Mytilus edulis: one gene and its partners. The protein of the gene in region 4 interacts with the protein of the main gene of each other region in a pairwise test. Links are inferred from orthologs where the notes say so. Each region holds a gene or a part of one and is shown on either strand. Other genes may lie near its edges.

Region 1 (7,454 bases), on a different chromosome or scaffold from region 4:
CCTCGTTCCAAAAATTTGAAAAATCTGCAATTTCAACAACACATGCGGACACTAACAAGATGGTAGTCTCACATATACTAAATCTGCTCAAAATCTAAAGGCCTTAAAAAAAACCATATAGCTGAGATTTTCAACAGTTTCTCAGTCCAAAGCCCGTAATTTCGACAAAAACTAGTGAAGCGGAACGAAACTCAAACTTGATCTGTAACTCATCATGGTTAACTCACATACCAAAAATAAGTCCAATATCTAAAGCTGTTTAGAAAAAAACCTGTATAATGGTTTGTTGCGGAATGACGGAATTTCAATATTACGGAATTTCGGAATTACGGAATTACGGAATTTCAGAATTATGGAATTTCGGAATTACAGAATTTCGGACAAGGGTAAAACTAAATGTCCCTGACAACTTTGTTGCGGGGCCATAACAAAAAAGCCTTCAGTAGGTTACTAGCAACATAGTGTCAATGAATGTTAATCATGATCATGATGATTTACCACGTTTCGGTTTGACCAGTCATAAAATTAGTAATACACAGTTAGGAAAAAAACTATAAATTGACACTCATAATTTTTAACCACTATTCTTTTCCTTCTTTTCTGAAAAATAAGGCTTTATATATATGTGTATATTTATTGAAAGAGCAAGAGTGATAATGGTGAAAAATTCTCTTTTTGGTGTAAATATAGCAACAATCTGCATTTATTTGATACAAAATATTGCAAAAATAATTAAAAGGGTGTGAAAATGTCACAAAAGTCCCCATAATTGGGTCAAACAAAAGAATAGGTTTGTTTGCCCTACCTACTCAGAAAATAGCTGCAGACTCAAAATCTTTTATTGTCCTCATGTGATTTTTTTTTAATCAGATATGCATGAATATGATGAAGACTTCTAAACATCCAACATGTCCATGATGTCCAATACTTAAATTTCTCTTTGTCAAAAAAAGAAAAAGAAAATGCCTACCTACCTAACTGTCTCCATGTTTGGGTAGGGTTTGGGCAAACCAAAATATTTTTAAAATTTCAATACATTAGAATGATACCTTTCCTGAAACCATAGGCATTTATCTATCAAAAGGTAAAAAAAAATTCATATATATAACCATTTCCACCTCTTTCGAAAACAAATTTGCTCCCCTATTCAATATGGCCGAACTAACTGTGAAGTTACCTACATTGTATAAAATTGAGGAAATGGGGAATTTGTCAAAGAGAAAACAACCCGACCATAGCTCAGCAGACAACAGCCAAAGACAACCAATGGGTCTTCAAAGCAGCGAAAAATGTATGTTTGTTTATAAATGTCATAGATATAAGATTTTTTGTGTTTTAAAGCCACTTTTAGGCACATGTTTAGGAGCTGCGAAGGTACAGTAGAATCTGTGTACACTCCCTACATGCCCTATCTTGATTAACTTTATTACAACAATGTTTACAAGGACGGGTGCAAGAGAAGTCGGCCAGGAGACAACTAAGACTGTCTCCATTAAAGTCTACTGGGACAGTCTATGAAGACAACTCGGACCGTCAATAAGAAAACGTGGACCGTCAATTAGACAACTCGGACCGTCTATAATAACAACTCAGACTAAGTATAAAATAAGACTTTTGATGAAATAAATGATTTAAGGGTGAAAGCTATATGTCTGATGAAAGTTTTACAGTCAATTTATATAAATAACAATAACTCGGACTTTCTATGAAGCGATGCCTATATAGACAATTTAGCATGTTGAGTGTTGTAGATGATCCGAGTTGGTGTTGTTTTTTTTTTGCAAAGTCAGTAACATGGCGAAATGATGTTGCAATCTAAAATATATTGTTTAATAATTTATAATAATTTATGTATAGTTTAAATCCTCCTTTAACACTTTGGCTGTGTTGTTCTTATAGACGATCCGAGTTGTCTTATTGACAGTCTGAGTTGTCTTCTTATATGGTCTGAATTGTTTTTTTTAGATGGTCAGAGTGGATGTGGTCCGACCTGTCTTTGGGTCAGGAGTGTTGGGGTATGAATAATACAGATATTGAGATAACAAGTATAGAGGAAAACTTGTATGGGGACGAGGTCCCCAATTATGGTAGAAAAATTTTACAAATGAACTCAAAATCGTTAACTTTTTTTTCAGATCTACTTCCTGTTCCAGTTTTCCCCGCATTCGCGCAAAAAATCTACTTCCTTTTCCGGTCTTGTTTGCATGAGACTTTGAATAAAATATATATTTATCAGTCAACATGTTTGAATTAAAAAAAAAATTAATACAGACTTCGTCCCCATTCACAGGTAATGCCTGCCTCATATTAACTTTAAGAACGTCACAGCTAGACTACGTCACAGCTAAATCCCTAACAACCGAACCAAAATCGGAACGTTACGGTATTTCTGTTTCTTTTATCAATGTTTGAATTCAAAAAAATAATGCATACAGACTTCATCCCCATTCACAGGTTGTGCCTGCCTCATATTTAAATTCAGCTGGACATCATGACATGATTGAGGGTAGTAATGCCCTTTACCATCAGGCGTGAAACGGTCATTTTCGGCTACCGTTAGCGTCAAATTGGTTAAAATTTTACCATGATTCATCAAATTATCCTTATCGTGATTCGCGATTCGTTAGAGGTTTCAAATAATTATCATTACCGTCATTTTTAGGGAAAAAATTACTGTGATTGGTTAAAATTAGCTCGTCTAAAAGAAAGTGTCATGCGCCAAAAATTACCATTAACATCATTTGACAAGAATTTTTACCGTTATTCGTCATGAAGGTCCCCCATTACCTGACCCTCATGTCATGATTGTGTAACCGAATGTCAGACGAATCTCAGAGTTCAAGCTAAGGTGGCAAAAAAGATAAAAATTAACGTGGTTGGTGAAAAAAATTTGAAACGGATGATTTACCTCTGATGGGTGTATGATTTTGGTCGATTTTTTTCTATATTGTCGAGAAAACAGTTTCCAAGAAGAAACTCTTGCCCTGTGCATGGGGGCTGCCATTTTTCTAAGTTGAATGGAAAGAAAACCCTAGAAAAAACCGAAAGTCAAGTTTTGTCTAATATTTCATAAAAGAAAATTTAAATAGAAAGACAACGGTTCGTGGTCTAGTGGTTAAGACCGATGGCTACAGTGCTGAAGGTCCCGAGTTCGATTCTCACTCGGGGTGCTAAAAATCTCAGTACATTAGAAGGGTAATTTTCACCCTCTCACACACATCTCTGGTACCCAGACCGGAGTTTAAACTAGAATGGGTACGTTGGGGGCCTCGGTTGGTCAAAGTGTCCCTACTTTGACCTGGAGATCAATCTTCTGATATCTCTCTGGTTTGTCTGTTTCCACCGAGTGGCCCGGTGGTTCTCTCCGAGTACTTCGGCTTCCTCCACCACAATAACAGACTTCCCGGTGTCCTAGCACTCCCTTTGTGTTGAATTGGGTGGGGATTGGTTGTCCTTGTAAAAATAATTGTCGTATAAATATACGTTAGTGACACATCTCCATTAATCCCGTTAGGGAGTGTACATGGATGCCACTGTACCCTCGCAGCTTTCGAGGGGTTCTTCGGATATCGGAGGCATTTACCAGTACATACATACAACGACGGACATTAATTAAATAAAACAGAAACAGCTGCAAGAGAAGACCAATTCGTAAAAAAAGAAAATTTTGTGGTTATCTGCAATTAGTTATCTCGAAAAACCATATGATTGAAAAAAAAAAAAAATATGAAATACAGGCCACGGTCAATAATATTTACTTTCGGAAGCTTTCAGCAGTTTTCCTTCATCTTACACAAGCCAGGAAATGCAGTGTGACACCTGCACAGGACCTGTAAATATTGCTGTTATTAAATATTGTAAGGAACTACAGTATCAATGGCAGTTTTAATGTAAATGTAAAGGGCCAGGTGCTACTATTCAAAAGCAGTAAAGGTCGAATAAGTAGCCATTTACCTTGAAAATTCAGATCCTTTAGGGGTATGTGAGGGGGAGGACAGGGGGGTACCCTTCTCCCTTCTCCCACCCTCTTCTCCTTTCTGCTACCCCTCATCTCCTTATTTTATTTTTTTTAATTTACCGGAAAAAAGATTTTTTCATATTTAATTTTTTTCATATTTAATTTTTTTCTCAAACATTTTCTCCTTTCTCCCAGCCTTCCTCTCCTTTCTCCTACCCCCTTTCTCCTTTCTCCTACCCCTTTCTCCCTGTCTTCCTTACCCCTTTCTCCCTGTCTTCCTTACCCCTGTCCTCCCCCTCGTATGTAGGTCTGTTGCAGCAGGGCCCACAGATGCTTGAGGACAGGAGCGCTATAGTTGAGATTCACGTTGATAGTAAACATGCATATTTATAGTAAAAATATGATATATTAGTATATATATGGTACACATAAGTGATATATGTATCGAAAAATCTGAGATTTATGATAATAAGGGGGAGGTACTATATGGGGCTCATACAGGATCCTATCCTCAAGCACCTGTGAGGCTGTGACAGGGCCTACCTATTTTATTAATTGTTAATTAGTTCATGTCCTTAAACCATGTTAACCATGTAAAACATGCATGAAATATTTGCCACTGGACGTTAAGTAACCACCAATCAATCAATTTAATCATGCAAATGTAAAATACATTAATAATTCAAATTGAAATAAAAACATGATTATTCAGTTATACCTCTTTTTCATTGTTCTTCATGTTCTTTGTTCAATATTACAATTTCATGGTTTCACTGGTCTTTTTCTTGTTTACTACATGTATCATGACTATATGTAATATGTAAACTATATTTAGTATATATGAAAAGATTTAAAGTGTACAATAACTACATGTCTGTCTGTATTGGTAAATGGTTTATCTGACCTTGACTCATTTCATGGATTATGATAATGTGAAGACTTAAGTTTATGTGATATTTGTAGTAAAAATGTATGACTACATGTACCAACAAAATATCAAACACAGTTATAAAAGCAGGTGATACATTTCAGTTTGTGCACACTTGTGTTTCATACATGTATGTATAACTTCATAAACACACTAGACGTGTTATAATTATGTTAACAATATATACAGCTTATGAAAAAATCAGGAATAGAGAATTGCTTTAAAAAAACCAGCATCTTCTTATATTTATATACATGATATATAGATTCCACAACTGCATCAAGTGTGTTACAGTATTTCTCCACTCCAGACAGTTAAATTTTGAGTCTTGTCATGCGTTTTGAATATATGTAAAATTTTACTGTTGAGAGTTGAGAGGTATTGTTATACACATGATATAGTCATGATAGTAGTAAAATCTAATTCTCTAATGATTTGTAGACGATATCTAAAAAAATATCATTCCTTTTCAAAGATTTGTGGAAAATTGTGTTCTTTTCATGTGACATCATTAGACATGGTCGCCTGTTTTTAAAACATTACAATATAGGCAATAGGCAGTGATTTTGCTAGCGCTCGTCACTTTCGTATTTTACGAAAAGGTTTTAGAAATGACGAAAATATTTCATATCAATTTCGTCAAAAAGGTGTTAAAAGTTGTGATGACAAGTAATCCGCCTATCGCCAATCAGATGGGTCACTAATCCCTTAATTATCATTATAAAACCTCATAAATGATCATCATAATAAATGAATAGGAAATGAATTATAATTTAAAAATGACCTATAATTTAAAATGTATAATGAATAATTTTTTTTTCTAAATTTCAGGGGGAAAGAGAAATGAGAAATTGATACTGCCATTGAACTCTTCAGTTAGTGTGACACTTCATCAGAATGAGGTATTGTGAACATGGTGAATATGCAGCTAATGTTTATTTATTTGGCATAGTTATAAGAGGGGTGTAAAGGGGGGTATGTGCACAGAAGAACACAAAATAAAATTGGGAGTCTCATTGGGGGGGGGGGGTTCTGATCCTGGATCCCGCTTATTGTTGTGTCAGATTCCCGTATCCCGCTTACACTATGTACGTAAGGAATTCTCATTTTTTTGTAATTTCCAGTGTCCCGCCAGACTTCATTTCCCGTTTTCACGGCACAATAATTTGACTTTCACGTGTCACGCTTACAAAAAAAATCAGCAATCCCACGTCACACTTAGACCCCAATGAGACCAACAAAATAGCCATTTCACGATGAACGAACAATTGAAAAATGGTTGCAGGTTGATCTTTTTACTGATTTCATGAAACACAGTGAACAACGAACCTTTTTCACAGCTGCACGTGAAATAAAAATGGCAAAAAAGTTGCATGAAAATAACCCTTTAAACCCTCTTATAAGCTTCTGTCCAAATAGACCTGTATCCTTAACTTATTGGTTGAATATATAAACCTAATAAATGAACAAATCTAGCATCTTCCACATCAACAGCTTTCGCTCAGTTAGTTGTATTTTTTCATATCAAACCTGCATGACCGTTTATCAGAATATTTGTCATGAAAATATGGGTCATTTTCTAACATGAATGCAGGCTGTGTTCCTCTTGACAATTTCTTTTTATGTCAAATTATTTTTCAATAATGATTTGGTGGGTTGCCTATATTCATTGATATCATGGGTAATATAGAAAAACAACTTATTTAATATTAAACAAAGTTTTTTTTTATAGGATTTGTATACAGACTGCAGGCAAAACCATGATATCCATATGATATCCCTGAAAATGCTATTTATTTTTAATCCCCAAAAATATTGGTATCGGAAAATGAACCAGAATCATAGTCTTATTACTATGTTGTATCATGATTATAATGCTATTTCCATTTCATAGAAAGTCTTTTCCTGTTTCTATGCACATGATGCATGAATATGAAAATCTAACATTTTAAAAATTAAAAAAATGAATGTCAATGCTTGAAATAAAAAAATTTTTTGCATGTAATACTTATAACACAACACTATCAACTGTTGGTAATTTACATCTGTTGAAAATACTCATATGGTTTTTGGCAGGAAATAAATTATAAAATTGTGAAAGATTTTTTGAAAATAGTATTTTCATGAATAGTAAAAAAAATACTGTGAATTCATTTATATTCGTTGGATACTAATTTTCATCATGTTCATGGTTTTGTGGGTACAGGAGAACCACGAATTTAGATATTCAACGAATTACAAATTTTCTAAAGTAATGTGTGCAGACTTTGCCAAAACCACGAAATTAAATATCCACGAATATGCAAATTTTCCTCAAACCATGAAAATTGGTACCCACGAAAATAAATGAATCCACAGTAATCGACATGTACAAATGTATATTTTACACTTTATTTTCAGTTGAGGACTGAAACAACAATAGCTGCCAGTCCAAACTTTACAAAAGATCAGATCTGACTGTACTCTACATGTATATTTTACACTTTATTTTCAGCTGAGGACTAAAACTACAATAGCTGCCTGTCCAAACTTTACAAAAGATCAGATCTGGCTGAATGGTGTGTAAGT
Region 2 (7,388 bases), on a different chromosome or scaffold from region 4:
TCTTGGGAAGAAAATGCAGACGAAAAATATTAGTTTTTCAACAACTGTTGCCATTTCGTCTGTTTACCTGTTAACGACATGAAATGGAAAAACCCAAGAAGGTTTCGAATTCAACAAAATGAGAATGAATAAAGGAATGATAAATATGATCAAACAGGATTTCCGCACTCATTAAAATCACTCGAGGGGCACAGTGTTAGTTTTGCGACAATATTTTCCATCCTATGCAGGATATATATAAGAGACAATATCTAAAAAATTGTAAATTTTTAGTAGAAACTAAGTTATATAATGCACCATGTCCTGCCAATTAAACACTCATTCTTATATTTCTTCCAATAAAATATTGTAATTTAAATGTTCAACCCCCCTAAAATCATGTTGTCCCCTGTGTTTTTTTGAAAACTAAATCATTCAAATAATATCCAAATTAATTAAACAGGCGTCTGATTCTCACATATATGATATATTATATAATAAACTTGCCCCTAATTTGTCTTTTTATATTATAACTATAGCATGTAATAAAATTTTGCAAATTTTAAGAGAAAACAAATTTGTCCCCAGGGGTGATTTGCCTCCTGTTACCACTGGTTTTTTTTTTACCTGTGGAAACGTTTACAAGACCAAGAGTTATTTTCCCATTATGTATTGTGAAGAGCATCATTATGACAGTTTTTGTCCATTCGTTTTTGATGCGTTTTGTTATTTGATTTTGCCATGTGATTATGGACTTTCCCAATTGATCTTCCTCTAAGTTCAGTATTTTTGTGATTTTACTTTTTCCTGAATGCATTAGTACAAAGAAATAGTTGGAAGGCGGCCAGGTTTGAAAATTCAAGCCCATCCAAGGTAAGAATTTATAGAAAAATACTTATTGGTGTTCTATCCTGTTACAGCCTTTTCTTACACTTTCTGAGAATATTTTTAAGTGTGCACCACAGCATTAAGTGTGTTTTTATATCATCTTTTTAAAAGTTATATGTCACAGGAAATACACTTACATTTAATGTGATAAAAAGGACAAAAACTATCGCGTAATTCCTTTCTGTTACGTTCCGTCATGTTACCTGGTAAAAAGTAACAGCATAACCATCATCAGTAACAGGAAGGATGTTCAAGACAATGTCACTGAAGAATCGAAAAGTTAATCTACTATATGCCAACCATTTCATTTAATATAAGTTATCACCACCATATTAAATAAATTTCAAAATAAGATAAAGTATATTGAATAAAAAAATTGTTTTTTTGCTTTTGATAACAGCAGAGAACATTGTGCAATTCTAGTTTAGTAGATGGTAACAGAAAGGAATTTATTTTAGAATTTTTCATTACCTAGGCAGATTTTTCATCTTGCAAATACAGTTTCAAAGGATAAATGACATTGTTTGCTGTTATCTTCCAATTGTGACCAATTTAAAATGATGTATTTTTCTTAAACTTTAAAATAAAGCAGAAAAATCCTTTCTGTTACCAACTCTGTCCTCTTACCGTTGTGCTGTTACTCAAGATTCTTTCATGTTACCGACATATGACATATCTGACTATATTTAAGTATATTTCTAAACCTTTTGTATTGCAAATGCTAAAATCAATAATTGGCATTTGATAAACTATTGCAGGATATACTAGTAAACCACAAATATTGTCTTAAACTTATTCCTTATTCCCATTAGAAACTTTTTAAAATTGATTCACTTTGGTAACAGGAAAGAACTGGATTTTTTTTGTACCATTTTTATAATAGCCATTGTTTCCTTATTAAACAATTGTTTGAATTACAGACAACAGTTCCTAGATCCCCAATGTGTGTTCTTCGATTTGTGCTATTAAAATACTGGGTCTAAACAAAAAATTTTTGTTTTTTCTTATTTCCAAAAATTAGACTTTTTCAGATATTGTCTCATATAAGATAAGATATCTCATATATTTTATTTCCAATTTAGGGCCCACAAGGGATAGAGAATACAAGTATAAGGGAACAGAACATTGATTATCATAGATCTATGCATATAGAATTTAAATTACATACACAATTACAATACAATTAGACTGTAAATAATAAAACACTTGGTTTAAAATATATATGATATATCTATATGAGAAATTATTACATCTAACTCATATTGATTTGAATATGAAGAAGGGGATGAAATAATTTTAATTACATGTTAAAAAAAATTGGGTGCTGAACGAATCTTTATGTTAAGAAGTGATTTGGTCCAGTTAAAAATGTATAATTTTAGTACGTCTGAAGCTGTCAAACTGAATTATGACCCCCTTATCACAGAATAGTCATTATTTTGAGTTAGAGCTGGTAGAGGTTTCTATAATTTTGATATTATTTGTCCCACTAGTAGTATACTACATTGTAATATCTTTTTGAGAAAGAGCAGGTGCGATTTTTTCAATTTGAATTTATTGTCTAAAAGAAATGCACTACGAAATAACTGTGTTCTCGGGCCAGTTGAAAGCCAGCTACAACTAAACAAAATTGACAAATATCACGACTTTTGTGTCTAATCTAGTATTTGTTGATAGAAACGAAATGATCTGAACCAAAGTTTTAGATATCTTTTCTATATAAAAAGGGGCATTCAATTATATCCAATACTCCATTCACTAGGGATGATATACTAGTGTACACATGACATTTGATAATTTTAAGAGAGTTTTGACGGCTTCTCTCGGCTGGCGAGCATAACTTTGTTTATTTTTTTTATAAAATAAAAATATTTTTGAAAACAATTTGTGTAGACACGTGCCTAACGTGACTAACGGTAACTACGCTCATTCAAGAGGGTTCGACGACTTACAGAAAAGAGCGACGATTTACAGAAAAGAACCGAAAAGGACCGAAAAGGACCAAAAAGAACCGAAAAGGACCGAAAAGAACCGAAAAGGATATCGACTTTTTTTGTAATCGAAGGAAATAAGCAAATTGCAAATCATTGAAAACCTTATACTGTGAGAGGACTAATTTTAACTCACATGTATGTGAAAAATTACAGGTAGGGTTGGATGCCTATTTTATAGAATAGAAAAATAGAAAAGATTTTTTTTTATTCACCAAATAAGGGCCCCTAGGAGGGCATATAGCCATACAAACAATATATATATATATATATATGCAATACACAGACAATAGATAGATATGTAATATGAGTAATGAAAAAATACTACAGGAAACACGCAACAAAATAATAGCAATATACTCTAATAATTCAATAATACTAGTGTTGACATTGACTTATGCGCTCCAGGTTTATTAGTGTATTTTACCTATAAAAAGATAAACAATTTTCTAAATATTTACCTTAACAAGGACTGTTGGCAGTCAAAACTTTAACACTATAAAAAATCCATGTATATATACATGGTTTTAACTTTATTTAATAAATATATATGTATTCCTTTTCGGTTCTTTTCGGTCCATTTTCGGTTCTTTTTGGTCCTTTTCGGTTCTTTTCGGTTCTTTTCTGTAAATCGTCGCTCTTTTCTGTAAATCGTTGGACCGCATTCAAGAAACAACGTAACTGTATGCATGGGAATAATAGTTTGTATGTTTGCTTAGTCCAGACTCCAGGTTAGGGAAATCGTATTACAAGTATTTGAATGTAATACATGGAAGGGTTGAAATTCCGTGTACGTCTTATTTGACTATAAATAAAAAGATACCTACAAATCGCGTATGTCGACCAAAGTAAATAAATCGGTCAGTGGTAAACTCAGTGAATGTGACATTATGTTTTGATTTTTTCCTGAAAATATAAATATTGATATGAATAGGTCTTTCCAAAGCTCTGATAGGGGCAATGCAGAATATTTGGCCACGTGGCCATCACCAGAAAAATAAAAAAATAAATTCAGTGGTACAATAAATTCCACAACGGCTTACCATACGAAATAGTTATGTTTGCCAGATATCGGTCATTGCCAGCCCAAATTAAGTTTGTGTTGTCCCTAATCATGCTAATACGATTCCGTAGGATTAAGTCTATTCACAGGGATGAAATTATTTTGGCAAATTCAGGAACTATCAAAAGAAAATTTTATTCAAAATTTAATATTAAATGGTTTATAATCATTAAATACTTCAAACTTTCCTTAAATACTTGTCTGGGTCGATATAAGATGGTCCGAGTTGACTTAACATAATCGGTCCAAAACTTCTCCGAACCGACTTGTCCAATAATCTTTTTAACGCTAAGGTAACATTGATGTTGATTTTTTAATACTTATAAATGATTTTTTAATTTAAAAAAATCGGCGTATGAAGTTAATTAGCAGTTTTAGCTGATTTTGATCACAGTATGATTCCGGTACTAATTTGTATAATACAATCATTCCTTTATTCGCACACTGTGGATTTTCGGAACTTCTCTGGACCTAACGATCTCTTCCATATTAATTGTCAACACGTGAAACCTGTAAACATGGGAAAGGCAAAGAAAGTTAAAGTATCTAAAACTGAGGGCGAAACCGACAAAACCCAAACACTTGCAGATCAGATCTTAACAGATAAATCAGTTAAACTCAAAGGCCGAAATAAAATTCGTAACAGAAAGGACGAAGATGATTCGGTATAAACATGATATAAAGCATGATAAATGCTTTATTACATAAATTAGGAGATTTAATGTTAATCAAACTAGTAGCAGATGAGACAACACCAGAGTGCTAATGACGTGGACACAAGAAATTAAAAGTCATCTAAGGTTTTCAACAATGCAAAATACTAAACAGTCGATCAGCTATAACATGATAAATATTAGTCCAAATAATTATGACGTCTTGAAAGGCTATTATAATTTTTTTCTTTGACGCCTTACAAAAAATTATAATAGCCTTTCAAGACGTCATAATTATTTGGACTAGATAAATATAGTGCCCAGACAAGAGACAGGCTTATAAAATAGGTCATTTCTGGGGTAAATAATAAATAAATAAGCTTTATATAGAGTTGGCAAGGTATACAAACAAAGACAACATTAGCTCTAATGAGCTTTTAACCGATATGACATGGTCATGGGTACAAACCAAATCAGATCCGGGTCAATTCAGCTAAAGTGTGGCACGTTAAAACATATTTTGTGAGATCTCCCAATACCTCTAGCCAATGACGAAAAAACAAACACACAGCAATATGAATCCGGGTCCGTTCGCCCTGATTCATGTTCGCCCTAGTACCTGTTCGCCCTGATACCTGTTCGCCCAGGGTCCATTCGCCCTGATTTTTCTTTTTTTTTCTTATTGTTGTCTAGTCGCATTATTTTAAGTATTTGAACAAAATATGTTAAGTTTGTTGAAAAATTGACAGAATATTTATATTGCCGCAATCAATTTATCATTTTCACTTTGATTTGCAGAGTAGAATACTGGAATACAATGTATTTATCTTTATTGATATTTGTTAACAAAATAATTGTATTCAGTCAATCACAAATGTATGCAGTATGACTAGTCTTAGAGTATAAATAAATGAACTTGTAAATCCTTTTCATAATTAACAGTTCGTACATCATTGTTTTTATTAATTTCAAGCTGAATATTTTATCAAAACAAAACGTTTGTTTTTATTATTAATTCATCAAAAGACAATGACAATAATCAGTGATTATTTTGTCATTGAACAATTAACGATCCTAAACAAGCCATAAACTTTTAAATATTTCAATGTTTCCATAAATTTCAAGAATATACAAGATAAATATATCATAGAAATATCTGAATAAGTTTATTCAACTTCAATGCCCTGAATATTAATATTTTTATAGGAGGGCGAACGAACTCTGAGCAAACGGACCTAGGGCGAACATGTTATAGGGCGAACAGTCCCGATACCCAGCAATATGCACAGTAAAAATCAGCTTAAAAGAAGTCTGTGTCAGAATAGGTATCAAAAGAAACTAAGAAAAATGACATAATGTCTTTATTTTATTATGATGCCTCTTATTTTCTTGAATAACTTGTTTAAGTTCCATGTACATTGTAGCTATAGACCTTTGGCTGATAAATACCTCGGCAGTCCAATTAATTATTGTAACAACCTAAACTTCAAAACAGCAGAAATAAGTCCATATGAAACATTCATTCAAGAAAACAGTTTTTTTTTTGAGGAATGTGCATGCGCGTGGTACACCATTTACTTCAAGGTCAATCAGGCGCGTAGCTCCCTATACGCCAACACGCAGTTGCGTGCACATCAATTCGGCATGCAAAAAAAATAAATTGCAAAATAAAAATTTATAAATTAAAAATATAAAGGATACACATACGAGTATTCAAATGATATAATGTCATTAAATAGCGGCATTTGGTTTCAAAATTAAAGTTTTATTGCAGATGACAAAAACGGACAGTAACTTGAATCTATTACAAGATTATAATTTGTTATACTCTTGTAGTTTCGGAGAACATTTTACAGAGTACGGTTTATCTGTTTCGAATGCGATGTACCAATCGGCCATTAGATTTATCAGAACCCTTCGATATCGTTAAATATGCCGATGCAATGTGACTATCAAAGCCAATCACCCTGCAAACACGCAAAAACAGTCTTGGAAAGTCTCATTATATTTTGCGTCCATAGACCACATGATAATTTACGAGTAATATCTTTAATTAATATTCTTTAATATTGTTAAAAGTAGTATAACACTATAAAACGTAGCATAACACCAGCAACTGTCTTTTTCTCGGGATATATCAGTTTGTTTTGGGGATATAATGTTTTTCTTGTATTTCTCGGGAAATCGTGGTACCGGAAAATTGTTTGTTTTTCGGGTTTTGGCCATAGGACGGTTAATTAAGAAGCTACATGTACATAGGTACATGATAATTTATGGAACTGGAGTCGCGTCTGATATCAGTCAGAAAAATCACTGCTTTGCGCATATCTGCTTCCTCGTGTTGTAGGAAATACAACAAACGAACAAATCACAGCATTGTTTGAGACAAAAGAAACTGACTTGTCATGTACATTTTGTAATTTTGACAAATTCAATCGGGAGGTCGCTTGATGGCGAACACGCTGGATTACATATCGCGGGTGCTACCGCAGAGAGATCGTTCATTGTACTACGTCTGTTGAAAACATATGTACGATTAACAACGAACAACGACGGTTTAGCATCGCTAGCATTGCTGCATATTCATCGGGATTTTTGTGTGATTATTGACAAAGTAATAAAGAAGTTCGTTTCTGCTAAGACCCGAAGGGCAGATTTTTGACAATTTTTAGTAAATTCCATAACACAAAAATGTGTTGTTTATGTATTCAATTAACCATGCTTTATTCTATTTAGATGTTCTATTCAGAAGATTTTTGAATAGTTTTGCATTCATGAATTATGTATAAGTCCTATGTACGTCATGTAGCTTCT
Region 3 (7,833 bases), on a different chromosome or scaffold from region 4:
ACAAAATTATTATGGTTAAGCAGATGACAAAAAAAATTATTATGAATCCGGACTTTCCCCTGTACCTTATAGTGTTATTTTTTTTTTATAAAGAACTAAAACATTGTTGCTCCCTTCCACAGTTACAGTAAAACATTTTTTTATTTGCTTGTAGGTGACTTCTTCGACAGCAAAGAACCATAATCCTCCTTAGAAGACGATATGATAAACTGAAACTTTCCATTGTTATACTGAATAGTCCTTCTCTTAGCTTTCGTGTCTCTTAATTTATGATTATCTCTAACTCTATCTCATTTTCATTCTCCACAAATTCACGTGGATTCTACAGTTTAATTATATTTTATAAAAAAAGAAGACGCGATTAAAATCTATAGACAAAGACAAACACACTTTGCTTTTTGGTAAAAAAAGAAACTGACAAAACCACACTCAACACTAGTCAGGTTTATACAGTATATACTACTAATCTATATAGAAATCTGGCAGGACAAGCTAAAAAAAACACCCTCAACACTAGTAAGGATTATACAGTATATACTACTAATCTATATAGAAATCTGGCAGGACAAGCTAAAAAAAACACCCTCAACACTAGTAAGGATTATACTGTATATACTACTAAGATATTTTATTTTTCCAATTATGGGCCCCAAAGGGCATAAACATTACAACATCAATAATTTTTTTTCATAATACAATACAAACAATGAGATAATAATAAAAAAAAAAAAGGTAAACGAGAACTATTTAAGTTCTTAAAGAATACGTAGATAAAGAAATCTATAGTATGTTTTTTTTTTTTTTTTTTAATACTAATGCATTTTATTGCAAGTGTGGTTGATATAGATAACAAACAAGCAGCCCAAAAAGAAAAAAAGAAAAATAGATATCCACATATGTATAGTACACAAAAAGTTGGATCAATTAAATATATAATAATTAGCCAAAAAGAAAGTAGAAATTAAACATGTCCATGACTCATCCTGTGTCAGCAGCAAATAGGAAAGCATTATGGTTTCCTAAAGGCAGCTGACACCAGGGGGCGATACCTTATGGGCCATAGGCATGTAAAATGTGTGTAAATGTCTCTTTCCTACCTGTATCAAAAGCAAACAAGGAAGCATCATAGGTAACTTGAATGCAGTTGATACCAGGGGACGATGCCTCAAGGATATAAGAGAACATTTGAATAAATAATATATCTTAACAATTATTTTAATCTATTAATCTATATAGAAATCTGCAAGGACAAGCTAAAAAAAACACCCTCAACACTAGTAAGGATTATACAGTATATACTACTAATCTATATAGAAATCTGGCAGGACAAGCTAAAAAAAACACCCTCAACACTAGTAAGGATTATACAGTATATACTACTAATCTATATAGAAATCTGGCAGGACAAGCTAAAAAAAAACACCCTCAACACTAGTAAGGATTATACAGTATATACTACTAATCTATATAGAAATCTGCAAGGACAAGCTAAAAAAAAACACCCTCAACACTAGTAAGGATTATACAGTATATACTACTAATCTATATAGAAATCTGGCAGGACAAGCTAAAAAAAACACCCTCAACACTAGTAAGGATTATACAGTATATACTACTAATCTATATAGAAATCTGGCAGGACAAGCTAAAAAAAACACCCTCAACACTAGTAAGGATTATACAGTATATACTTCTAATCTATATAGAAATCTGGCAGGACAAGCTAAAAAAAACACCCTCAACACTAGTAAGGATTATACAGTATATACTACTAATCTATATAGAAATCTGGCAGGACAAGCTAAAAAAAACACCCTCAACACTAGTAAGGATTATACAGTATATACTACTAATCTATATAGAAATCTGGCAGGACAAGCTAAAAAAACCACCCTCAACACTAGTAAGGATTATACAGTATATACTACTAATCTATATAGAAATCTGGCAGGACAAGCTAAAAAAAACACCCTCAACACTAGTAAGGATTATACAGTATATACTACTAACCTATATAGAAATCTGCAAGGACAAGCTAAAAAAAACACCCTCAACACTAGTAAGGATTATACAGTATATGCTACTAATCTATATAGAAATCTGGCAGGACAAGCTAAAAAAAACACCCTCAACACTAGTAAGGATTATACAGTATATACTACTAATCTATATAGAAATCTGGCAGGACAAGCTAAAAAAAAACACCCTCAACACTAGTAAGGATTATACAGTATATACTACTAACCTATATAGAAACCTGCAAGGACAAGCTAAAAAAAACACCCTCAACACTAGTAAGGATTATACAGTATATACTACTAACCTATATAGAAACCTGCAAGGACAAGCTAAAAAAAACACCCTCAACACTAGTAAGGATTATACAGTATATGCTACTAATCTATATAGAAATCCGCAAGCTCAAGCTAACAAAAAACAGACATGTTTAAAGTACACTGTTTATCCTCATTATAAAAACTAGAACAAGGTTCTGTTTATTCATATTGACTAGAAAAAAAACATAACAAATAAAGCAAGTAAAAACTATTTGCATAATGATGTATATTTGTCTTGTCATACGTCAATTATAATATTTTGGCCACGAGTATCACTGAAGAGACATGTATTGTCGAAATGCGCAAGAAAATTGGAACCGTTAATTTTATTATAAAATCTTATAACACTAAATCAATGTGTTATTTTAGATAAAAGAAATTACGAAATATATTTTTTTTAATTTCCAGATCTTATTACTATTTTGTAACATGCTTGATAATCTCAGGGAAATGCAAAACATTTGATAGTTGAAAGGTGCAATGATTATCAAGTTTGGGAAAATCATGATAATCTCATACGTTGTCGTTATTTCTTATTAACGTTTTTTATTTTTATTTTTTATTTTTTTATATTTTTGAGGGGTTGAAATAAGGCCTATAGTGCATTACGGTATCTATATGCCCCTGTTTCATCAGGGAAAAAGTTGTATTCTATGTCAGTAATATTCATAGTGCTTAAATAGTACTGTCGCATGAAAGTTTCATAAAAAAAAAATGAACTCAAAATACACATTATGTATTGCACATAAAATACTATTTTTTTCTCTCTCCTGTTTTATTTCAAACTTATCCAAAGGCTTCTGTCAAATGATATATCATACTTGTTTGTGACATGCAGATCCCTGTTTGTGTTTCAACGGTTATGTCTTTACCTGTGGTAATATGTACTGTTAAATTTATGTACTGTGTGACGTGCATTTTTATGAATAAGTAATTTTTTTCTCGGAATTTTAACAGGATTTTTAAAGATCTGGAAACGACAAATAAAGTACGAAGTTAGGAACCGGTCAAAATTTATCGTCACATAGGACCGGTGCAAAAAATAAAAACATTTAATAAAAGTTACAACCCTATGGCTTTCTGACTGAAAAAAAAATGATGTCCTATGCCAACTTAGTAATAAAAAGGTTGGTGTCCTATCCTACTTTTCCAATGTATTGTAAATAAAAATATACTTAATAGAGGCATTTAACATATGTTGTCTTTATAATATGATCAAAAGCAACAGTTTCATGTTTTATTTTGTTGATTCACATACAATTACATGCATGGCATTATCATAAATTATACTATGAATATATAAGCATTGAAAAAAACAAAGACATTGAATAATGCAATAAAACCACAAATAGGTGTTTGCTAAAATGAAAAATTAATGAAGCTGCATGTATCTTATATAGAATTTTATCAATACCTTTAAATATTAATTATAAAAACAAGCTACAGGAGAAACATGAAACTCAATAGCATTTGGTTTAACTCTCTCTATATATTTGAACCTGAAGACCCATAGGTTGCCTAATTTTTTGCCAAATGTGGCTTCATATTCTGATTTTTTGTTATGCACTATTTTTACAATATTACATGTAAGTAAAAAAATATGTTGTACTGTATTACAAAAAAGTCTATATAATTTATAAAACATTTAAAATGATTTTAGAAAATAAATACATATCTGTATCTGGTTACAATTGGTTGAAAAATTTGGTAGGGGGTTTAGAAGTTATGTTTCTATATCCTTGGATAAACTAATAAAAAAGAAGGCAGGACAAAATCATGAGAATGAAAAATGAAAACGGGCTTGAAAGAGATTACAACTATAAAAAAAATGCAGGACAAAATTTATCACCCACTTGCGCATATTGTCTTTATACTGAAATTTGCATCCTACATCGAAATGTCGAAATAACATAAAAAATGTGGTGCACACTGTTAAATAACCCGCTACGCGCGTTATTCAGTGTGCACCAATTTTTTTATGTTATTTCTTCATAGACAGAAAAAATATTACAGTCATTTCTTATAATTTAATTCTAAATTCCATCTTAAACCGTAGAAAACAATGAAAAAACGTTGATGACGTCACAGTCACATGACTAAATTATGTCTATGGGCTCATAAAAAAAAATTAAAAATAAAAATTGAAAAATATTACTTACATATACATTTGTATCATAAAAATTGAAAAATTATTAAGAAACCAAAAATATATATTTTTAATCATTAACAATATTGTTAAACCAGGCATGCGCCGGAAAGTAATGATCAGTAATCATCAACCAGTTGATGTTTTTCTGTATATAAAGAAGAAGAGAAGAAGAACGTCAGCCAATCAGAAGACGCGTTACATCCAAAATTAAATTATACTAATATATCCTCTATATGATATAGAAAGTCCCTGGTTAAACTATATATGTCTCTGGTTAAACTGAACAAAAGTGTGGACTACGAAGAATAACTCTAAAAAAAACCAAAATCCAATTCCCGCATTTTATTCTAATCTTTACCGATACGAGCGGAAGATTTCTTTGTACACAATATTTGGTGACGTAAAAGTTTAAAAATTTCCGGGAAATTTGATATCTGGTTTGCAAGCAATTTTGAATAATATCTTGGTAAGACTTTCAGTTTACGATAATACTAAATAATGTTTCGATAAGATGAGAACACCTATTGGGTGCTGTCGAAAGAAGTATACTGTACTTCAGATGGGTCAACAGGCACTTGTTTCTTGTCATGTAAATGTCTATAAATAATTTATTTGACTGTAAACACTACTACAAATTATTTATAACTAGAGGTACTTGTTTCTATGATATCCACTGATATCCACGAGAAGGACAGGTCGACTATCCAAATGTATTTTTTTACAGAGACACATTCTTGTGGCTGATAAAGAAATACAAAACTTACACAATATCCATAATATCATATTCTGTTTGGTAACAAAATAGCAAAATATCTAAAAATAGGTATGATGTAATAGACACTGTATCCTTGCATTGGTATGCATTTTATGTGATATTTAGAATGAAGTCACATGTTGTGGGGCGCTGTCTTCCTGAGGATAGCGTTCCAGTGTACTAGCACTATAAAGTCCTGCAACTACGGTAGGCTAGCACAAAGCAGTAAAAATTTACATACACCCTTTGGTTTTATATTTATTTTATTTTATTTTATTTTACCTATCATTTTTTTTTAGTACATACAAAACAACTCACTAATTATTTTTGCAAAACTCACATACACAAATTTAGGCTTATTTCGGTTTATACAAAATATTTGGCATATAAATTCACATACACAATTTGGCATATCAAAATTATCCGCTCTTTACTTGGCTGCTGGTGTACCAGGACTACCAGGAAAACGTTGCTGCCGTTCACTGCTGTTTGCTTAGCCTAGCTTTCCTCCTGTTCCTACTTCTGGTGGCACCATGTTTATTAAATATTTATTAATTTTTTTTTTTTTATTTTTTTTTATTTTTTATTAAACAAAATTATCTTATATTATTTTATTATATTTATTTTTATATTCTTTTCTTTATTTATTTACTTATTTATAAAAAAAATTATTTATTTATTTATTTAAATTTTTGTTTATTTAACATTTTTATTAAACTTATCATTCTAAATTATTTCAATTACCACATGGTAAAAATTAAATTATTTAATGCCCAAAAAGGCGCAAGCCAGGGCAGACCATGCAAGGGCTGTATAGCCAGTCAAGGTCGTTAAAAACTTCCATTTGTGGCTGTATTGCCTACACATCCTATGAATGTCATTTAAATGTGACTATTGCGTCTGGAAATCCAGCAATCCTCTCTTACCCAGAGACATATGATCACATCATGCACAAGTTTATATGTCTCTGATATACATGTATCTCAGACAAAGTCAGGCCTAATACTTATGCAAGTGGTAAATATTTACCTTTACAGGTGAAATCCTTCAGTTAAAACTTGTCATATAGTACTACTATAAGTTATATGGTTCGCTACTGACCCCCTACGGATCCATAGAGGGTTAGTAAAATCCATAGGGGGTGAGGCCGGAGGCCGAGTCCCCTATGAATTTTATTCACCCTCTATGGATCCGTAGGGCGTCAGTAGTTAACCGTATAACGAATTTATTGGACGCTTGACTTTTTCTACGGCGTTTTGTTGAAAAATAAACAATGAAACACAACAACATTAATAGATGACGTCGCCATTAACACGTCATGAACCCCATATGAAACTTACTAACCCCATACGTTTAACCAATCACAACGTGATAATTCATCTGTGGTCCGATAAAATGTATTGATTTCATCTTAATCTGGTGCTTATGTATTTCTCACAGTCCTTTGGTATATATTTTTAGCATCCGGGATTGGGATTCAGGCTTGCTAGATCTAAAAATCACCTTGTTCTTTTTAAATACTCTATAATTAGTTTGGAAAAAGGGCTATTTTGTCATATAAGTTAAAAAAAATCATATTTTCTTCTTGTTTCAATTTCTTTTGACTGCATTGCTGTAAATGTCAGAGTGATTTTCTGTAATTACCGTAATACACATGTAGATGTCAATATACTATTCATAAATGTATAATTTCATGGACAAAGAACTTAATTGTCTTTTACAGGTCCACTTATATAAATGATATCATTTCCAAACACCCAAGGAGCAAGTTTTGAAGGCCTTGCACAGCAACTTTACATCCATAAATGTACATGTATATCTTTATTTTTCCTTGATCATGAGTTAAAGTTGAACTCTCATTAAAAAAGTTTTAGTGATACAAAAATAAACCAGAAAAAATATATAGGACATATAGGTATATGTATTGACATAAAATAAGGTTGAGAATTTAAGGTGCTGTGAATATAAATTACTTGTAAAGTACAATGTATACTTTTGGAGAAGGTAAAAGGGAGATAAATCAAATCTTGAGATGAACATGAAAATCATACAAAGGAGTAGGTTCAGTAAGACCCCTTATTGGCCCCAAAATATAGCAGTTTTACAAAATTGTGAAAATGTAATCTTTAAGCTATTTAATGGAAAGTAGAATGCTTCAGCTAGATAAATATGGGCTGTTTTTGACAATACAATGCACATATATCGGTTAGTAGCATCAATAAGTCGTGCTTAATTACTGAAATCTTCACAATTTTAGCATTTTAGCTAATTTTAGATGGTGTCCGTCTGAAATGAAAGTGGCCGCATTCGTGTTCATTCATAATATTGAAATGCAAGTTGTATTTGATGATACTACATAATATATATAAAGTTGAGGATGAACACAAAAAAACATTTGAAAAGTGACGTTTTTTGGCATATATTTGTTAGATTTTTCATATTTAAACTTGAATCCCAGCTTTTTAATGACTAAATCAGTTAAAATCTTTCACTAAACTAATCGAATCAATTGAAATAGACACTTAAAGGGAAATCACACTATTGTTTATACGCATAGCTCTCGGCGCCGCTATAGTGTCGTGACTGTATTGTGA
Region 4 (7,273 bases):
GGAAATTGTTTAGATCTGATATTTTTTTCGTGCATGCAGCATTGTCTTCCTTTTCTTTCTCTAGTTTGGTGATTTTGTCTAAACATTCTTTCAACTGCTCTGTCGAATCTAGTTGGTTTTGACTTTTCACTAGTTTGCAGGTGAGAGTTCTTATAGTCTCTTGTGCACTTTTTAAAAGTTCTGATTTTGCGGAAACCACTGATTTATTTTTCCGTAATTGAATGTTTGCTTGTTTTAGTTCGACTTTCATTGGGGCTGCCTGGTCGAAAAAGTTCATGAATGCTGAATTTCGCACACTGCTGAATGGCAATTCCCTGAGACTGTTTTTATTTGAATAATACTGTATTAAACGGCGATTGTCTCTAAGTTGTTTTTTTGTTGAATTCTTTTGTTCACTTGACACTTTCGAACTTGTTGATTTAGTAAATCGAACTTTACCGAATAAACTTGGTCTAGCTGTGAAACACTGTCTTGCGAAATGTCCGAATTTGTCGCACGAGAAACATCTTTTGTTGTAAGCTAGACACATTTCGAAACGATGATGTGCAAGTCCACATTTACCACAAACTGGATATTGATGTGTGAAATGATTCTGTCTCCACATACTCCACTGCGGTCTTAGATTAAAATCCATCACTGAAAGTTGATACGAAGATGGGGAAGAACTCTGGTCGCTTGACTGCTGAGGTACGCGGTACCGTGTGTTGTACTAAAAAGACAACACGCCTCTGGATTACCTCCGCCAAATGTGACAACGTTGTTGTAACTGGAATGTTTGATACCGTGCAACAGGTTCTGTTGCTGAAACTGGCGAAGATGCCGAAACGAATGACAGTGACCGAAGACTGGTCCCCTGCCTATTGAACATAAATCCACTGGCGGAACTAACTCACAGACTGGTAGAGCGAATACAAACGAAGACTTTCAGTATAGATTTTATTTTCACTTTAATGAACGGATGATGTCAGTTCAAAAGGCTGACTCCGACTAAAGAATTAACTTCAGTCGAAACATTATAAAGATAGACAATGTTTACAGGTTGTCAAAGAATTAAGATTACATAACAATAAAGTTGACAAATTTTACAAACATAAGATTAACACTTTAAAGTAACAATAGACCGTAATTGAAAAACGGATTAATGTCATTGTTATCAAACATGTCCTGGACAAGAACTGATAAAATATATATTGAAAAGAATTATCTATGTACGACATTAACGGATTAAAATAATTATGAAATGAAATAGTTGTGTAACATAAATTAACACAATCCCTTGTATAGTTTTTCTCACAGTTTTAGATTAAAAAGTGACACACATGAAAGATCTTTAAGAATGCAAATCAAAGTACATTGTCTGTTGAATTAGAATGAAATTGTCCGAAAGATTAAACAGAAACTATAAATAATATAAGAAACAAGTCCAAATGTCCGAAATAAGAAATACATAAATTAGTGCGACTTTTTCCACGTTCACATATCTATGATGAGTTTATTTACTTTCGAATGATTTTACTTATACTTTATATGAAAAAAAGGATGTCCAATGCTAGATTTAAGTACAACTCTTTGTAAGAACCAGGAAGAGTGCGATATATGAAGGTTTCAGATTTTATCTTATAATTGACATAGTAGAAGCAGTAAATAATGAATACTGCTCAAAAATAATTATGAGTGGGAAAATATGAATGGTTGCCATGTTAACGAACAATCTATTTTTTGGTTGTTAAGAGTAGAAAAAGCTTTAAAAAATCAGCTAAATCACCGCAATTTAGAGCCTGATTATGAATAGAATCATGTATTTTTCATTAATGTTCATATGTAACATTGATACAACTTGGTTTAAGCTTCATTTTAGTGAAGATTGCATGTCAGCCAAATGACAAAATGTCGTGATATTTTCAACTTTTCTGAAATTGTTTTTTTTCTTCTTCTAAATTATCAAATTTTCTCTGGTGTTTTTTTTTAGAAAAGTCCAAATGTGTACAGAATAGTTAGCACTGTAGTTATGAAGTTTGGATACTACTTTACCAAATTAAATGAAAAAAAAATACGTGGGATTTTCTATAGTTTTATCACCATAGCAACCGATTTTTTATTTGCAGAATATCGCAGTTTGAGAGCTTAAATGTCATAACCGATAAAAATATATAAAAGCTAACGCAAACTTTAAATTACTATCGTCAAGTGTTGTTGACTTCAATTGTTACTATGGAAACATATATTATCTATAGCAACATCACCTCAAAAACTGCATAATTAGAAATTTATGTAAAAAAATATGTAAATAGAGTGTTTATTTTCAAATTAGAATATGACTTCACTCTTCACTCACAGTCTTGTCTTATTTGCCCCGACTTTATTCTAAAATATCCTATAAATCTCATTCATAGAGTTATACACATGGGAATACAATATGAAATAGATGAGGAACAATTTGATTGGGAACTCATGTTTGTTTTAACACAAACAAGAAAAACCTTAACCATTGTCCTTACAACAAAATTATTTTTAATGTTTAAACCCGCTGTATCTTTTTGTACCTGTCCGCGGATAAGTAAGGAACCTGTTGTTCAGCGGTTGCTGTTTGTTGATGTTTTTCATAAGTGTTTCTCGTTTCACATTTTTTAATTAGTTAAGGCCGTCGGGTTTCTTGTTTGAATGCTATTACACTAGTCATGTTTGGGCAATTTATAGCTAGCTGTTCGGTTTGAGCCAAATAAGGCTCCGTGTTGAAGACCGTACTTTGACCTACAACGGTTTACTTTAACAAATTATGACTTGGAGAGTTGTCCCATCATGCTCATTGGCACTCATACCACATTTCCCTTGTAGATTTCGAAAAAAGAGCAACATAATGCCTCTACAAGGTAACACTCGCACGCGCAAAAAAAAAGAAAAGTAGGTAAGTAAGTATAAGTAAAACTATATTTGGACTCGGCATATTGACAAACAGTACAAACATAAGCTCTAATGAGCTATTCACCGAATATAAAAACATATGCAATAACAAATAAAACAAGGCATGCAGAATAAATAATAAAATGCAGCACCAGAAATTAAGAAAGGGATAAATATGAGTTTCAATAACGTGTTCCCCAATCCACTATACATATTATAAAAATGTTTAAACTAAAACTAACTAATCTAACATTTTCTTATAAAGTTGAGCCGGGTTGATCATTTTTCAAACTTATTCTGAGAAATACATGTAAAGAGGGGCGGCATAAAGTGACGACAAAAAAATAATAATCAGAAAATTAGAATGATTTATATAATCTATGCGATACAAAAAGCAGTAACATAAGCCAAATCATACAATGACTACACAAATAAAACAAACCTAAATGATTTCATTAAACACGGAAATTATAGCTTTTTCATAACCGAAGTTGGTTAAATATTAAATTTTAGTCATTATCATTGTCGTGTTTTCAAATACGAATGCATTAAGGTCAAGGAACAGTAAATGGGCTATGTCGCAGATTTTGTTAAAAAATTGCATACAACCTTGGCTCGTTGAACTACAACTGAAAATCGAAAAATTTATACATTTATCTCTTTTATTTTCTGAAAAATTGCAGATTGATTTCTCTTAATATGGGTGAACATTTGTATATAGGAAGCACATAAAATCGACTAAAAACCTTCTAAAATTTGTCTTTAAATCGCCAAATCTATAATTCTACTCCATAGATTTTTCTTAAAAAACTATATATTGTTGACACATAAATTTCTGTTTTAATGATATAAAATAATCATAGGGTCACCGACTTCGTTTTTTGTCTAATAATCATTTTGCTACCTTATTGGTAGTGAAAAACGTCAAAAATCAACGTTTTACGGCCTGCAACGCGATAACGTTACGATTATTTCGACGTTTTGTTGGTTTTTTTCACAAAGAACGCATCTTTGAATGATATATACCGTAAAAACGAAGTCGGTGACCCTATCTTTATTTTGCATCATTATAACGGAAATTTATGTATCAACAACATATAGTTTTTTAAGAAAAATCTATGGAGTAGAATTAGAGATTTGGCGATTTTAAGACAAATTTTAGAAGAGTTTTCGCCGATTTTATGTGCTTTCTATACAAATGTTCACCCATTTTGTAAGAATTCAATCAGTAATATTTCAAATGATAATTGAGATAAATGCATTATTATTTCGATTTTCAGTTGAAGTTCATCGAGCCAGAGCTGTATGCCAAATTTTACTGAAATCTATGACATAGCCCATTTACTGTAACTTGACCTTAAAAAATACTATTGAACGTTGAAGAAAAATTGTTTGTGTTCCCTTCTGGTTTTGCAAAGCAGAAGTATTTAGCTGATAGACCATACAGACGGTGCTTCATTAGCTAGCAGGTATACAGGTTTATGAACTCAAAATATTTAGAATTTTTTGATTTTAAGATTACCTGTAAGTTACGTTAATGCCAAAAGTAGGATGATGACACGAACGTATACCCTACAACTACAAGCTGATCGGCATAAAATTCAGCAGATATGAAATTGCTCCAACTCGTCAAATGTGCAATCAAGAACCAGAAGACCTTACTCATATGCTTACTACCTGCTCAGCATTAAAGTGAGACAAGAAAAGAAACTTTCAACCAGATAAAAACTTATGTAACCAAATATCATTGGAGGAATGTCAAATGAAGTGGAAAGAGAACATTCATTGATAGACATAAAATTACAGTCCTTGTAATTGACTGTACAAACTTCACATATATATTTAGTGAAAGCAAGCTCAAAATAGAAGAACTATAGTCGCCCTCAGTTGAAATTCGTAGCGGTTATCGGTAAAAATAATCTAACCTATCAATCGCTTTCACTCGAGATATAGTTTTTCACATTCCATTCATAAATCGCAAAAAGTCAAACCACTACTGACCTACCTTTTAAGTCATCACACTGTAGTAATCATAATATGAGGCAGCCATTACCTGTGAATGGGGACGAAGTCTGTAATTTTTTTTTTTAATTCAAACATGTTGATAAAAGAAACGGAAATACCGTAACGTTTCCGATGTTGGTTCTGTTGTAAGGGGTTTAGTTGTGACGTTATTTAAGTTATGACGTAATATTCAATGTAAACATAGAAACGCTGTTATCCAGGTAACGTTTTTTTCATATCAAACAATTATTAAAAATGATTGGGTGTTGATTTCCTTCCTATATAATATTTGTTGATATATTGATAAATATACATTTTATTCAAAGTCTCATGCAAACAAGACCGGAAACGGAAGAAGACTGGAAACGGAAGTAGATCTGAAAAAAAAGTTAACGATTTTGAGTTCATTAGTACAATGAAAAATTCGGGAAATTTTCCCGAAATTTAAAAAAAAAAAATTTTTTATTGATTTTTCTACCGTAATTGGGGACTTTGTCCCCATATAATCCTGACCTTCACATTTTCCAGAATGTTTTCCATTGTAATTCCACCATCTTCTTTCTATGAGGATCATTAGTTTACATATGATATTCGTCACTTACACAGTTTCCTGAAATGTTCTTTTCATTGATGTGATAAGGTTTCCCGCGCTTTATGCAAATTTTATGAAACTGATCTCCACGGAAGCACTTCCGGTAAAAACAATGGCGGATTCCACCATTCAAAATCGTCTTGGAAAATGTGAAGGTCAGGATTATCACATTGCAATCACTTAAAAGGTAGGTCAGTAGTGTGGTTTTTCTTTTTGCGATTTATGAATGGAATATGAAAAACTATATCATGAATGAACGTGGTTGATAGTCTAGATTAGTTTTACCGATAACCGCTACGAATTTCAGCTGACAGCGACTATAAAAATGCTCACAAGAGATATGTGCTACAAGATGCATAACACAACACTAAAACTGATAAGTGTGTATTGGCTGTTGACAATTATCAGTCAACTCAGAAACTTAAGTCTATTTTAGATTTTAGCAAGTGTTTACATATATTCACAGAGTGTGTACATAGTTAAAGACTTTTATCCATATTACCCTCAAAAGAGGGGTGTTCCTAAAAGAGGAAGATGAAGAAGAAGAAGTTAATAATGTTTTATGCATATGGTTCATCAAAAATTATCTGTAACTTGTTAGGTTCATAATTTATAACAACTTAGATATACATGATATACAGATACACAACTTGTTCGACCACAGTACCATTTCATCTATAGCCGTTTTGCCCTCTTCATTTGATAATGTTCTATTTGCAGCCCTACCCTATGATTATGATATTAAAATAAGTCAGGCATTAGAAGCCACTACCTATCTAAAAAAAACCCAGCTAAACAGCCATACAATCAGTGGTTTTGCTAGCCCTCTTCACTTTCATAATTTACGAAATGGTTTTCGCATTGACTAAAGTAATGTATTTCAAATCAATTTCGTTATTTTTTTTTTAAATTTTGGAAGTGTAAAAATATTTTCACATTAAAATACTTTAAATTTACCTGTCTTTATGTTTTTGACAAGTTTATGACCCTTAGGTAATTTACATTTACAGGTGTTACAAGTTGTGATTACAACTAATCCGCTTATTGCCATCCTATGGGTCACTAATCTGTTAATTATTTATAAACCTCATAATTGACCATCACAATTATTTTCCCCAGGAAAATCAGTAAGTCTGCATTGCAACATCCAGGAGTATAGTTTCTTCATTTGATCAAAATTGTTTCCCCACTGACAGTTCACATTTGAATTTTAATACTTCTCCAACGATCACAATTTGAAGTTCCTTTGTCGTAGATTTATCAGTTAAACGCATTTTCGTCATATTTGATATGAGGCTGGTCATCAACATGATTTACATGGTCATACTGGTATATACATGTCCAAAAATGATTTAAAATTCTCATCCAATCAAAAAGATTGGGAAATTTTAAGATTCTTTGAAAACAATTAAAAAAAAAAGAAGAAATAAATTTTTTACAAAACAAAACTTAAATTTGCATGTACAAACCATGTTCAAAACTGTGTTTGTATTTCAATATCATGCAATGATTGCTTTCAGTTTGTTGTTCATGTTGTTTAGACAGTGAACTATGTCTTCACCAGAAGTAGAAAGATTTGAGGTTACAGAAGATGATTTGGCAAATGAATTCTACCCAAGAATGGGAAGGAGACAGACCAAAAACCAGGCCATATATGGTATGTAAAATATGAGACAGAATTTGTTATAAAGTCAATTTATTATTTATAACATCAAGGGAGATAATATTGTAAAACATTGTTTTTTATTTTGATGTCAAAGCTATACATGGAACTTG

What was found.
Region 1: the proteins of tuftelin-interacting protein 11-like (region 4) and ribosome assembly protein METTL17, mitochondrial-like interact in binary tests that used the Homo sapiens proteins (3 or more experiments, as listed by UniProt). The link is inferred for Mytilus edulis from reciprocal best matches to the Homo sapiens genes TFIP11 and METTL17.
Region 2: the proteins of tuftelin-interacting protein 11-like (region 4) and bystin-like interact in binary tests that used the Homo sapiens proteins (3 or more experiments, as listed by UniProt). The link is inferred for Mytilus edulis from reciprocal best matches to the Homo sapiens genes TFIP11 and BYSL.
Region 3: the proteins of tuftelin-interacting protein 11-like (region 4) and kinesin-like protein KIFC3 interact in binary tests that used the Homo sapiens proteins (3 or more experiments, as listed by UniProt). The link is inferred for Mytilus edulis from reciprocal best matches to the Homo sapiens genes TFIP11 and KIFC3.

Annotation. Positions count from the first base shown.
Region 1 is NC_092348.1:13,935,883-13,943,336, forward strand, and holds the start of ribosome assembly protein METTL17, mitochondrial-like, read right to left. Parts: upstream 3,027-7,454; 5' UTR 3,005-3,026; coding exon 2,909-3,004; intron 1-2,908. Other genes in the region: diphosphomevalonate decarboxylase-like, read left to right, coding at 3,806-3,857, 5,718-5,788, 7,381-7,448. UniProt on the Homo sapiens protein: Mitochondrial ribosome (mitoribosome) assembly factor. Binds at the interface of the head and body domains of the mitochondrial small ribosomal subunit (mt-SSU), occluding the mRNA channel and preventing compaction of the head domain towards the body.
Region 2 is NC_092355.1:40,791,284-40,798,671, reverse strand, and holds the start of bystin-like, read left to right. Parts: upstream 1-4,376; 5' UTR 4,377-4,439; coding exon 4,440-4,586; intron 4,587-7,388. Other genes in the region: 17-beta-hydroxysteroid dehydrogenase 13-like, read right to left, coding at 1-54. UniProt on the Homo sapiens protein: Required for processing of 20S pre-rRNA precursor and biogenesis of 40S ribosomal subunits. May be required for trophinin-dependent regulation of cell adhesion during implantation of human embryos.
Region 3 is NC_092348.1:92,546,878-92,554,710, forward strand, and holds the start of kinesin-like protein KIFC3, read left to right. Parts: upstream 1-4,832; 5' UTR 4,833-4,951; intron 4,952-7,833. UniProt on the Homo sapiens protein: Minus-end microtubule-dependent motor protein. Involved in apically targeted transport. Required for zonula adherens maintenance.
Region 4 is NC_092353.1:62,694,756-62,702,028, forward strand, and holds the start of tuftelin-interacting protein 11-like, read left to right. Parts: upstream 1-4,258; 5' UTR 4,259-4,370; intron 4,371-5,585; exon of another isoform or gene 5,586-5,684; intron 5,685-7,017; 5' UTR 7,018-7,048; coding exon 7,049-7,154; intron 7,155-7,273. UniProt on the Homo sapiens protein: Involved in pre-mRNA splicing, specifically in spliceosome disassembly during late-stage splicing events. Intron turnover seems to proceed through reactions in two lariat-intron associated complexes termed Intron Large (IL) and Intron Small (IS).